3 linked regions of the Mus musculus genome follow. Each later gene encodes a partner of the first gene's protein in a complex. Links are inferred from orthologs where the notes say so. Each region holds a gene or a part of one and is shown in the gene's direction. Other genes may lie near its edges.

What was found. The genes of interacting proteins can lie anywhere in the genome.
Region 2: Exosc2 (region 1) and Exosc4 share a complex: the UniProt entries of both Homo sapiens proteins name them as parts of the RNA exosome core complex. The link is inferred for Mus musculus from reciprocal best matches to the Homo sapiens genes EXOSC2 and EXOSC4.
Region 3: Exosc2 (region 1) and Exosc1 share a complex: the UniProt entries of both Homo sapiens proteins name them as parts of the RNA exosome core complex. The link is inferred for Mus musculus from reciprocal best matches to the Homo sapiens genes EXOSC2 and EXOSC1.

What each region holds. Positions count from the first base shown.
Region 1 is NC_000068.7:31,673,715-31,677,214, forward strand, and holds part of Exosc2 (exosome complex component RRP4), read left to right. Parts: intron 1-800; coding exon 801-846; intron 847-980; coding exon 981-1,070; intron 1,071-2,124; coding exon 2,125-2,190; intron 2,191-2,651; exon of another isoform or gene 2,652-2,953; coding exon 2,954-3,022; intron 3,023-3,500. UniProt on the Homo sapiens protein: Non-catalytic component of the RNA exosome complex which has 3'->5' exoribonuclease activity and participates in a multitude of cellular RNA processing and degradation events.
Region 2 is NC_000081.6:76,326,175-76,330,196, forward strand, and holds the start of Exosc4 (exosome complex component RRP41), read left to right. Parts: upstream 1-1,222; 5' UTR 1,223-1,253; coding exon of another isoform or gene 1,254-1,318; coding exon 1,319-1,489; exon of another isoform or gene 1,490-1,517; intron 1,518-2,855; coding exon 2,856-3,062; intron 3,063-3,181; coding exon 3,182-3,541; 3' UTR 3,542-4,022. UniProt on the Homo sapiens protein: Non-catalytic component of the RNA exosome complex which has 3'->5' exoribonuclease activity and participates in a multitude of cellular RNA processing and degradation events.
Region 3 is NC_000085.6:41,930,515-41,934,810, reverse strand, and holds the start of Exosc1 (exosome complex component CSL4), read left to right. Parts: upstream 1-1,496; 5' UTR 1,497-1,516; coding exon of another isoform or gene 1,517-1,528; coding exon 1,529-1,559; intron 1,560-1,646; coding exon 1,647-1,762; coding exon of another isoform or gene 1,763-1,801; intron 1,802-3,380; coding exon 3,381-3,455; intron 3,456-4,296. UniProt on the Homo sapiens protein: Non-catalytic component of the RNA exosome complex which has 3'->5' exoribonuclease activity and participates in a multitude of cellular RNA processing and degradation events.

The sequences.
Region 1 (3,500 bases):
CAAAATGACCAAGTGATAACGGGCGCAGCCCTCAGCAGTGGCTAGCTCCTCTGTATACTTTATTTTCCGTCCTTGTAAGGGTGTTGCAGTAACTGATGTATTTAAGGGTAGTTAACAGAATGAATAGAGTTCCCTAGTTTCCAGTCTGGATGTCTTTGTTTCCCTCCTGCATTTTAAGGTGCCCTCAGCAGGATTTGTGTTGGGCTCATCCTAGAGCGTGACAGGAATCAAGGTTTTGGCCTAAGTGTGGGGTGGGGTGAACACTTACTGAGCTGGGGCTGAAAGGGAGAGAACAGTTTGCTGTGGAGAAGGGGAAGCAGCTGCTGGCAGTGTTCACCTTGTGTTTGTTATCTTTACAAGTGCTCAAGAGCCATTTGTGTGGCTATTGATATCAGGTGGCTTTGTGACTCTACCACCCAGGCGCTGGGATTGTGGATAATTCCCCACCTTGCCCAGCCTCTCACCATTAGAACTCAGTGAGCTCACTGTAATTGAGGGAGCTCTGACCAGAAAAGAGACACAGTCCAATGCCTGGGCCTTAACAAAGGGCATTTCACCCTTGGAATCAGGGTGAGGGACCAGCAAAGTGTCTGAGCCAGGCAGGCAGTGTGGACATGTAACAGCTTGCAGTGAGCAGATGCTTTAAGGATAGCTAATGAGAGTCTGAAGTTCCCAGGTCTAAACAGTAATTATACCCATGTGCTAAAAAAGATGGTTATTGCCTCCCTTCTGTTTGTTCAGCCTCAGACACTGTGTGGCCAGCCCGCTGGCTATTGGTAAGCTTCTGTTTTCTCTTGCAGATACAATGGAGAGGTCGGAGACATTGTAGTGGGGAGAATCACAGAGGTAAAGTCAGTGTTCATAAAGAGAAGGAGGCTGGCGGCTCAGGGATTGGGGCCTTCATCTGTGAAAGTATGAAGAAGGGGCCCTTTGTTTCTGGGGTGGTGTGAAATGCTATCCCACATTTATTTCTCTCACAGGTTCAACAGAAGAGGTGGAAGGTAGAGACCAATTCCAGGCTGGACTCCGTCTTGCTCCTCTCATCCATGAACCTACCTGGGGGAGAGCTGGTGAGTGCTCGCCTGCTCTGGAACTGTCCGGTCGGTCGGGCTGTGGGGCTTTGCTCCACCTGAGAAGTCTGCTTCACATGAGGTTGCTGTGGTTTTGTCACCAGATCTGCTACTTTGGTGAACACAGAGGCTTTTCTTCTAGCCCTGTGCTCTCAACATGGGCAGCAGCTTGTGTGTGGTAAGACCAGAAACACCCATGGCGTGGGCTCCCAGGAGGGAGCTGAGAGGAGGCTCTTGGGTCTTAGGATCTTAGTGCTGATTTCCTTTCTTGATGCCCAGCCTTGCACAGGGAAGGTGTCTCTTGAGGGGTTTGCCTTAGCTTGCTTGCTTTTTGGAGTGTGGGGTGGGTGGGGTTGAGACAAGGTTTCTCAGTGTAGCCCTGACCTGGAACTCACTATGAAAATCAGGCTGGCCTGGAACTCACAGATGTCTGCTTGCCTTGACCTCCCAAATGCTGGGATTAAAGTCATGTGCCACTCTGCCCTGCTTGTCCTTAGTTTTCAGTGACTTGAATGGTACTTGGTTATTGCAGACAGTGACAGGCTTTTGTCCATATCATTGTTGAGTCTGTCATATATTTTGGAGAGGCTCCCTGAGCTGGGTCCTATGGAGAGTACCAGATAAAAGGATGCACAGCTGAGTCCCACAAGGACCATATTATAGATGGGCGGAGGATATGTGATAACAGAGCTGTAAGGTAGCAGGAGAACGAGGAAATACAGGCACCAGAGAACAGATGTTCATAGTGGGACCGTGGAGTGAGGTTGGGGACTCAGGTGAAGGGAGATATGTGACCAGAGACAGCCTGGTGTGAAGTGTGCTGGGTGAGTGGGGCAGTCACAGTGAGTGTGCAGTTGCTCAGGGTCTGATTGTCAACTCAGGGTCCCACTGAGGAGAGCTACTGTCCTCTCCCTTGCTCCCACCTCGTCCTGGCGACCTCTTGTCATAATTCTTCGTATTACAGTACCATGGCTGGCTTCAAGCAGAGAGCAGTGGTGGGGAGAGCCCTTCTGAGGGGCTGTGTCATGTGTTCGTTTGTGCTTGTGTGTTTCAGAGGAGAAGGTCTGCGGAGGATGAGCTGGCCATGAGAGGCTTCTTGCAGGAAGGCGACCTCATCAGTGTATCCTGCACCTCATTCTCTCTCCCCCACAGGGCTGCGAGCGTGTCGGACTCTGTCTGGCCAGGGGAACAGAACCTTGTGGGACTGAGTCCAGGGTACCATGTTCAGGGCTCTGCTGCCCTACACTCATTTTCCTTAGCTCAGAACGATGCTCTGGGTTTTGTAACTTGTGATTCATGGTGAAGATCCAATGGTCTTTCCTTTCTTATTATAAAGGGTAGCCCAGGCTGTCTTGGAACTCACTGTGTACCCCAGGCTGGCCTCAAATACACGCATTCTTATTTCAGCTTCCTGAGTGCTGAGATGTCAGGCATAGGCCATCATTCTTGCCCATGGACCTGCCTGTGTCCAAATTAAGAAAATGTGGACCCAAATTTTCTTTGTTTGTTTTAAAAAATATTTGATCATATTTGTTTGTGCAATTGCTGTGTGTGGAGGTCATAGGACAACGTGCAAGAGTTGGTTCTCTTCTTTTACCTTGGTCTGAGGGATAGAACTCAGCTTGACAGACTTGATGGCAGGTGTCCACCTCACCAGCCCGCAGATGATATGACCATGTATCCATGAAAAGGTTGGTTGTAGCAAGATACTCTTGCCAACCAACCAGGGGGAAGCTGAGGTCATAGTGATATCTCCCATAGAGGGCCATCAAAGATGGCCAGAGTGACCTGCTGGTGATGGTGGTGGGGGAGAAGCTGGCTGCAGGTAGGTGGCACAAGGGAGGGTTGCCAAGGCTACTGTTGTTCCTTCATCACATGAGTAGGCGGAGGTCCAGGCTGTGTTCTCGGATGGAGCTGTTTCTCTGCACACGAGGAGCCTGAAATATGGGAAGGTAAGACAGGCTATGAGGCTTTAAGTTCAGTTCTGAATCCGAGTAGCTCCCTGCATGCTGACCTAAAGACCTGGTAGTTAGCTGGGTGTGGGGTCATGAGCCTATAATCTCAGCTCCCTGGAGGCAGAAGGAGGTGATTAAAACTGGAAGCCAGCATGGTTATATAGAGAGACTGCCTCTTCCTGCATGACCCCCTGCCCCCAACCTCCAATCTAAGAACAAAAAGCAACAACACAGAACCCAGTTATTTTGGACTAGTGACCTACCAGGATAGGGGACGTCTCCCGCCGGTGGCCGGGCAGAGTGGTTGGCATCCTAAATCCATTTCCTCCTAAGGAACCTGTTCTGGTAGAGCCCCTCTGCTTGGGGCTGTGAGGCTGTGAGGCTGTTCTTTCTGGGAATGCTCAGCCCAGCATTGTGAGGCTGGCCGCATGTCCACAGAACCATGTCTACAGGGCCATCATAGTGCTGCCAGAGA
Region 2 (4,022 bases), on another chromosome or scaffold:
GGCTTGAGCCGCTCCAGCTGGCTGGTGTGATGTTCTAACTCTCCTAACTCTTCAGAACTGAATGCGCCTTCCCTCCAGGACACCTGTGTTGTTCTATGTCACACTCATCTCTCCAGAGCATACTCCTTTGAATATTCTTGCCCACAAGGGTGCATCGTTGCTGTCTGTGACAGCGGTGCCCTAACTCTCCTAATAAGGCCCACCTGAAGAGTAATTTCAGCTCAGTGTTCTTTCTGTGAATCTATCTTTTATCTATAACAACAACAACAAAACCTGAGGACTGTTGATTTCATATTCCGAGTGAAAACACTCCAAAAAAGTGTATACTAAATGACCCAATCCTTAAAAATAAATCAGAATTCCGGGCTGGTGAGATGGCTCAGTGGATAAGAGCACTGACTGCTCTTCCAAAGAAAGGTCCTGAGTTCAAATCCCAGAAACCACATGGTGGCTCACAACCACCCGTAATGAGATCTGACGCCCTCTTCTGGTTTCTGAAGACAGCTACAGTGTACTTAGATATAACAATAAATAAACATCTAAAAACACACTTTAAAAATAATCAGAAAAAAAAATCAGAATTTCAAGCCCTACTATACAGATGCATATATACAACTGCAGGCCCTTTGTGTTTGTATTCAAGTGATAGAGAAACTTATTGGGCAAGGTAAGGGAGGGAAACTTATGGATTTAACCAAGGAAATGAAAAAAGGAAAAAAAAACAAACAAACAAACTAAGCCACAGAGATAATAATCATGTGTAACAAACAACTGTGCTTAGCTAAACTGACCACGGTAAAAACCACGCGGGCAGAGGACCAGGTTTGATTCCGCAGCACTCACACAGTGGCTCACAGCTGCCTGTAGTTCCTGATCCATGGGATCTGACGCCCTCTTCTAACTTCCACAGCACTAAGCACACATGTGACGAATAGACATACAAGCAAGTAAACACTCATACAATAAAAATAGATATACAATTAAAAAAAATAAGACCAAAAAATGTCTCTGCTCGGGCCAGCATCTCCAACAAACCAAAGACGTCCGGAAGCCAGTCTTCTTGGCGTACCTACTCCAACAACCCGGGAGAAGCACAAAAACCCGTTCGCCTCGGGCCTTCCGTTTCCCGGAACTGAAAGGCTTAAGTCGAACATTCAGAAAGCCGGGGATGCCACAAGCCGCAGTTCCCTTTGACCGGAAAGCGACTAGGCTACCGGAAGCTATAGTTCACCGAGACTGAAAAGGAAACGTACCGACGGAAGTCGTAGTCCTGAAGGTCCAGGTCGAGCTGTCGGAGGCGGAGTCAGGACTGTACATCATGGCCGGGCTGGAGCTCCTGTCCGATCAGGGTTACCGGATAGACGGTCGCCGCGCGGGGGAGCTGCGCAAGATCCAGGCGCGGATGGGCGTGTTTGCGCAGGCCGATGGCTCGGCTTACATCGAGCAGGGCAACACCAAGGCACTGGCGGTGGTCTACGGGCCGCACGAGGCGAGTAAGCGGCGGGGACCGGGGGCTCCTGGCCGCACATCAAGGGAGGAGACCTAAGTCGTACGGCTTAACTCCTGAGCCCATGCAGCAGTATACTACAATCCCATCTGAGTCCCTGTGGGCCTCCCGGCAGAAAGCATCTCACACAGGTTGTCCCAACGTGTTGTAGCGGGGATGATGTGAGAACCTGGCTTCTTTTGACTTCATCTTACGAGCTCTTTCTCTTGGCCGACTTCCATTTCAGTCCTCTTTGTGTTGCATCCTCTAAGCAGTGAATATAATTATGCCCTGAGTTCTCAGGAAAATTGCGTCCCTAACATGGCCCTCAAATTTGTGTGTTAGGCCCCGTGAGGTACTGAGAATATCGGTTTCTTTAAGAACCCAGTTATGTTATGTGATTATGTTTTTGTTTTGATCCCACGTGTGGGGTATGGAGCTGCTTCAGATTGCCCTCAGCCACTATGATTTGTCTCATGCAGGGACCGGGGGCTTGTGATCCCACCTCGAGGGAATATACCTGTGTCTTACAGCTTAAGTCCTCCGTCTCAGTGGGCCCTCTGCTTAGCCTTTTTTTTTTTTTTTTTTTTTTCTCACGGGCTGCCCGCTTCATCTCTGAGGTGCCTCAGCCAGCCTGGCGAAGCTCCACTCACTCCCTGTTCCTTCAGCTCATTCTTCCCACATCTTGTCAGGAAAAGGCCTCTCAGGCTATTTCTGCACCTACTACATCGATTTTCCTGGGTCTTCCACCTTGCTTGTTTCTCTACGGGAACATAAACTCCTAAAACAAGGACATTAAATTATCTGCCTTTATTGCTGTGTCGCAGTGCTGTAGCAAGGCTGGCAAATGTGCACATTTTAAGGTTTGCTAGCATATGGAGCTCGGCTTTCTAGGTGGATGATCAGGTATAGAACACATGAGGGAAGACTTGGTAGGGAGAGGGACAGTAGATCAAATAGAGTTGAGGAGTTACCAAGGAGGTGAGGACCCAGGGCTTTGAAAGTCAGGGAAATTGAGATTTTTTTTCTTTTACATTACTGTAATGGGAAGCTTCTGGAAGGTAAGTAAAATATTAGTGTGTGGGTTACACAGTCAAACCAGATGTTTGTAATCATGGTGGCCACAATGGGAATAATTTGGGAGGAAATGGAGAAACTGAAGAACAAAGAGTTGGCTGCTAAAGGTGACAATGCTTTGGCTTAGGTTGAGAAGTAGCCCCCCCCCCCCACTCAGCTATGATTTGGAACCAGAGTAGCTGGGGTTTTGTTTGTTTGTTTTAGCACTTTAGAAAGAGGAGGAGGAAGGTTGAGCCATCGAGTGCGTCCCAGGAGGTAGGCAGGCCTGGCTCATTCATTCTTTTTCCTCTAGATCCGGGGCTCCCGGTCTCGAGCCCTGCCTGACCGGGCTCTAGTGAACTGTCAGTACAGTTCAGCCACCTTCAGCACAGGTGAGCGCAAGCGAAGGCCTCATGGAGACCGGAAGTCTTGTGAGATGGGGCTGCAGCTACGACAGACCTTCGAGGCAGCCATCCTCACACAGCTGCACCCCCGCTCTCAGATCGACATCTACGTGCAGGTGAGCTACCTGCACCGTCAAACCCCTCCCCCGGGGGCGGAGCTTAAAGCTATGTGGGCTGTCTGAGATGCTGCAGGATGCGGATGTCAGTCCATCAGATGTCTTGATGCCCCCTGTAGGTGCTGCAAGCAGATGGTGGGACCTACGCAGCATGTGTGAATGCAGCCACGCTAGCAGTGATGGATGCTGGGATACCTATGCGGGACTTTGTATGCGCATGTTCAGCTGGCTTTGTGGATGGCACAGCACTAGCGGACCTCAGCCACGTGGAGGAAGCAGCTGGAGGGCCCCAGCTCGCCCTGGCCCTGCTGCCCGCCTCCGGCCAGATCGCACTGCTTGAGATGGACTCGAGGCTGCACGAAGACCACTTGGAGCAGGTGCTAGAGGCTGCTGCCCAGGCGGCCCGAGGTGTGCACACTCTGCTGGACCTTGTCGTCCGACAGCACGTGCAGGAGGCCTCTGTCTCACTGGGGGACTGAGTGGCAACCACCCCTTTCCAGAATAAAGGCCTGTTCTTCTCCCGAGTACACCTTACTGTACAGCACTTAAAAGCTGCTCAGGGCCCTACAGCGCAGTTTATAGTGCAGTCCCTAAGTGGAGAGAGCACTTGTGCTAGGAAGAGCAAGGGTGCACCTGTTGTGCCTGCCCAGATATTAGGGTCCGCAAAGACCCCTGGGAGTATGAATCTGCATGCGAATTCAGACTTTCTTCACCCTTAAGCTTGGACCTCAGACTCCTCCAACACACCAGATTTGTGCTGAGAGCCCTGAGCCTCAATTAGGCAGGGTTTTTATACTAGTTTGATCAGGGAGCAGGGGTCTCCTGCCTGTCAGTTGCCTTATTTCGCAAAGTTATCTTTTTTTTTTTCCTGTTTTTTTGAGACAGGGTTTCTCTGTGTAGCCCTGGCTGTCCTGGAACTCACTCTGTAGACCAGGCCTGCCTCTGCCTCCTGAGTGCTGG
Region 3 (4,296 bases), on another chromosome or scaffold:
CAGCTGTACAGGAGCCAGCAAAGACACTCTCACCAATGTGATAACACCCAAGTATTTGCTGCGCTCATCCTTTCTGATTAACAAAGAAATAAAACCAGTATTAGAATCATAGCTCTAGAGATCAATAACCTAGAGGACAAATCAAACCGGAAATCAAACCCGTAAAATGGAAAGCTTGTGGTGCCTATCAACTCTGAGTGAACAGAGTGAGACCAGGACCCTCTCCCCTCAGCCTAATGGGATATCAGGATAATGACGAGGCTAGAAAAAGACGTATTAAATGGGCCACAAGTGAAAAAGTTTTCCCTCAGGAAACAGAGAAAAAGCAAAGTCGTATTTACATCTAAATGTGGCGGGAAGGCACGAATGACCTGAATGCACGGAGGAGGAATAAAGCCAGCATAATTTCTCCACACTCCAAGTACTGCCACCTCTCAGTAGGACCCACAGGCCACAGTGGCCATCTGCCACCAGATTAGAGATTAGCAGGCAAGAGCACTCCCCTAAATCACCATCTGTATCTCAAAGAAGCCTGGCTGACAGGGAGGGAAGGGGAGAGAGCAATAAACTCCAGAGCCAATAGATGAAAGTGAGATCAAAGTCATGGCAAATTTCATCCGGAAAAAGCTGCTGCTCCCGGAACCTTTGCCACCTCAAGCTGATGTCAGATATCAATAAAGCACAATATTCTATTAATGAAGGCTTCTTTCCCGGCTAACATGCTAAAAGGGAAAAAAAAGCAAAAGGAATGCTATGCTAACGTCAAGCTGCTCATTCATAGTTAAGGAGCTCACACTCTATAGAGTATCTGCCTGCAAGAGAAGAAACTGTCGTTCTACAAAACTAGAAAAAGGTTGTGTCTCCAGGTGCAGCAGGGTCCATCTATGATGGGCTCAGGTCCAAAAAAAAAAAAAAAATCGGCTTAAGCTTGGGCTGTCTCGAACCAACTTCGACACTTTGTTGTACAAAGCAAACCTGGATCTGAGTCTTCAAACTCATGAAATGGGCGAGTTGGGGCTGAAAATGCGTTCGGACCTAGGAGGACGCATCCACGCAGGGCAGGTCGTAGAGAGATCAGGAACTTAACTTAAAGGCCTGGACACCGGGACTCGGATGGGAAGCAAGAACCGCGCCTTTACTCTTACCTGCCTCCTGCCAGCTTCTCAATCAGCCAGATTAGGCCCAGTCTCCCTGTCCGCCACCCACTGCCTCCCCTTCCAGCTCAGGACCCAGGCCGGGCCGAGCTAAGGCTGACCCACCATGGCCCTCAGCCCACAGCGCTAGCCAGCGGACCGGGACCCGCCGCCCGCCCATCACCACCCAGCTGCGCAGGCGCGAGGCCCGGAGCCCGCAAAGGCACGCCCAGAGATCTGTCCCGGGGCAGCCTGGGAAATGGAGTCAGACCTCGCTCTTACACCCCGTGCGGTCGAAGGCGCCAATTGGTACTCGTGTAACTGCGAGGCCGCTCCTCTAGCTGACCAATGAGAAGTCGTCTTGGTTCTCATCCGGGTTGTGGATGGTGGCAAGCATGGCACCACCGGTGAGGTACTGCATCCCCGGTAAGTGAGCGGTCTCCGCACGCAGTTCCAGGCTGTGTGGCAACCAGCTTCTGGGAGCCCGTGGCTGAGGCAGCTTGTCTTCTGCAGGCGAACGTCTGTGTAACTTGGAGGAAGGCAGCCCCGGCAGCGGCACCTACACCCGGCATGGCTACATCTTTTCGTCGCTGGCTGGCTGCCTGATGAAGACCAGCGAGAATGGCGCGGTAAAGGAAGCGGCTACCCAGCGCGCGTTCCCTCTCCGGGTGCCGTTGAGTTCCGGTCCTTGGGCACAGGCAGAGCGGGCGGACGCGTCTTTGGTGGCTCAGCCGCAGAACGCTTTGGTCTCCCGGCTGTGATCTCTGCGCTGTGCTGAAGCACACCGGCCGCACACCCGTTAGGTTAATCTGACTTAAGTTCTGTGGATGCACACAGAAGGAAGTGGAGGGAAAAGCACGCAAATGTAAGAGTAGCCCAGCCAGCCGAGAGCTTCCTCACGTGGTACATCTCGACTACCCCTCCGCTTTCATGTGTCCCACGTCACTGACATCAATGTAGTAATGCTGGCGATTTCCAGTGTCTTAGTGCACTAAGCTCGCTCTTGTCGCGAAGCCTGTGCAATTCACGTGTCGTCTATCTGGAACACACTCCTGCTCAACCCCTTTATTTAATCGGTTTTTTTAGTTGTTTTTTTTTTTTCCCAGAGAAGCCCTTCTGGACCTTCTGACTAAAAAAAAGTGGGTTTGGTGGCAGAAGGATCGATATGCCCAAGAATCTCCCTCCAGGGCACTTATTTAAATGTTACTCTTGATCACTAGATTCTTGCCCAACTAGACATTTAAGTGGAGCCACGATTGGTGGTACACCAGCGTATCCCCAGCTTCTAACAGGCACAGATAAAAGCAATCGTTGATACATGTAAGACGATAAAAAATAAATAAAAACTAAAACCTTAGACTTGTGGCTCATCAGTACAGAGCTTACGTAGTATGCTGACCCTGGGACCACAGATCCAATCTCCCGAAAAAATAAAAACTCTTTAGGAACTGGCTAGACCTAAACATCTCTCTTTGTGTTGAGCTTATTTGTAAAAACAGATTCCAGTCTGTTGGTTCTGGAGATAAAGTCAGCCTCAGCCTGTGTGTTTAGTCACTGCATCGATGTCTCTTGAGCACTTTCAATGTGACCTGCTCAGGGCTGCCCTTATTTGCTACTGGGGATAGAGTCACGAGCCCAATACACAGCTTTTCTTACTGAGGAGGCGGACAGAAATCATGAGCAAATGTACAAAAGAATTGTGCGGTACAATAAGAACATGTAACAGGCTCTGTGCATTCTAGACAGTGACAGGATTTAGTCATCTGAATATAAGTAGAGGTGGAGGAGAGCAAAGAATGTGATCCTCCTGTAGAGAATGGGTTAGACGGACACTGACATGGGAGGGACTTAGTAAGGTGAGGAAACCGCACCAAGCAAGAGAGGTAAGATGGTACTTGCCAGCTGCCATTGGACTAAAACAAGAGTTGCCATTCTGTAGCATTTAATTGCAAGATCTGACTTATGAAGTGTAAAAAAAAAAAAAAAAAGTATAGCTTGGAAGAGTCAGGATATTCATAATTATAAGCAAAAGGATTTGTACCAGGAAATTCCAAGAGAATCTTCAGTAATTTACAACTAATCAGAAAGGCTATATTAAACCTGGCCACCTAATTCTAATGGCTTCTGATCCTCTATTTCCTAAAATGACTGATGTCCTCTGCTATAGGCTAAAAACTAATCTACAGGCTGCTTTCTCAAACCAAGGCTTACTTAGCCACTACACTGACCTTTCTATTTTCTCCACAGGTTCCCGTGGTGTCAGTGATGAGAGAAACAGAGTCCCAGTTGCTTCCAGATGTGGGAGCTGTCGTCACCTGTAAGGTGAGCGGGTCCTAGTCACTGTGCTATAGCTGCCATGGTCGGCTGCTGAATTCAGTAGTCGCCTGGCTATATAGGGCTGTTGAAGTTTATTTGGATGTGTTGACTCAGGCCTTTAATCCCAGTACTTAGAAGGCAGAGGCAGGTAGATACGTGAGGCCAGCCTGGTCTACTGAGTGGTTTCAGAACAGCCAGGGCTTCCTAGAGAAACCCTGTCTCAAAAGAAAAGAAAAATGAAAATTTTATTTTTAGCCAGGCTACAATATAGATACGATTCATCCTATCTGTGGTCTCAGTATCTGGAAGCTGAACAGAGTTATTGGACAGTAGTTCAAGACCAGAATAGGCTACAGAGTGAGACCCTGTACCCCACAGTCCCAACGCTCTTCACATTTTAAGTAATCAGTAGCAAATCGTGGTTAGTGACTGCCATATTGGCTGGCATAGGACTTTTGTTTGGGGGGTGTGGGAAAGTGATGGACTCCTCTGAAGTACACCCTTGGGTCTAGCAAATGATTCTTTATTTTGTTTTGTTTTATCGCGTGTGAATAGTCACCTTGTCTGCGTCATATGCATGCCTGGTGCCACAAAGCCTAGGGAAGGGTGTGGCACCCCCTGGGACTGAAGGCGCAGATGACTATAGGCCCTCGTGTGCCTGCTAGGAATTGAATCCAGACCCTCTACCAGGGCAGCCAGTGCTCTGTAACTGCTGAGCCATCTGTCCAGCCCCAGGAAATGACATCACAGAAAGTTTTGCAGGCATAGGTGCACACTCCTCAGATGGTGCTTGAGAGGTGGGGGATCTCAAAGGGGAGCCGGGCTGCGTGGTAGATCTGTGTCCCAA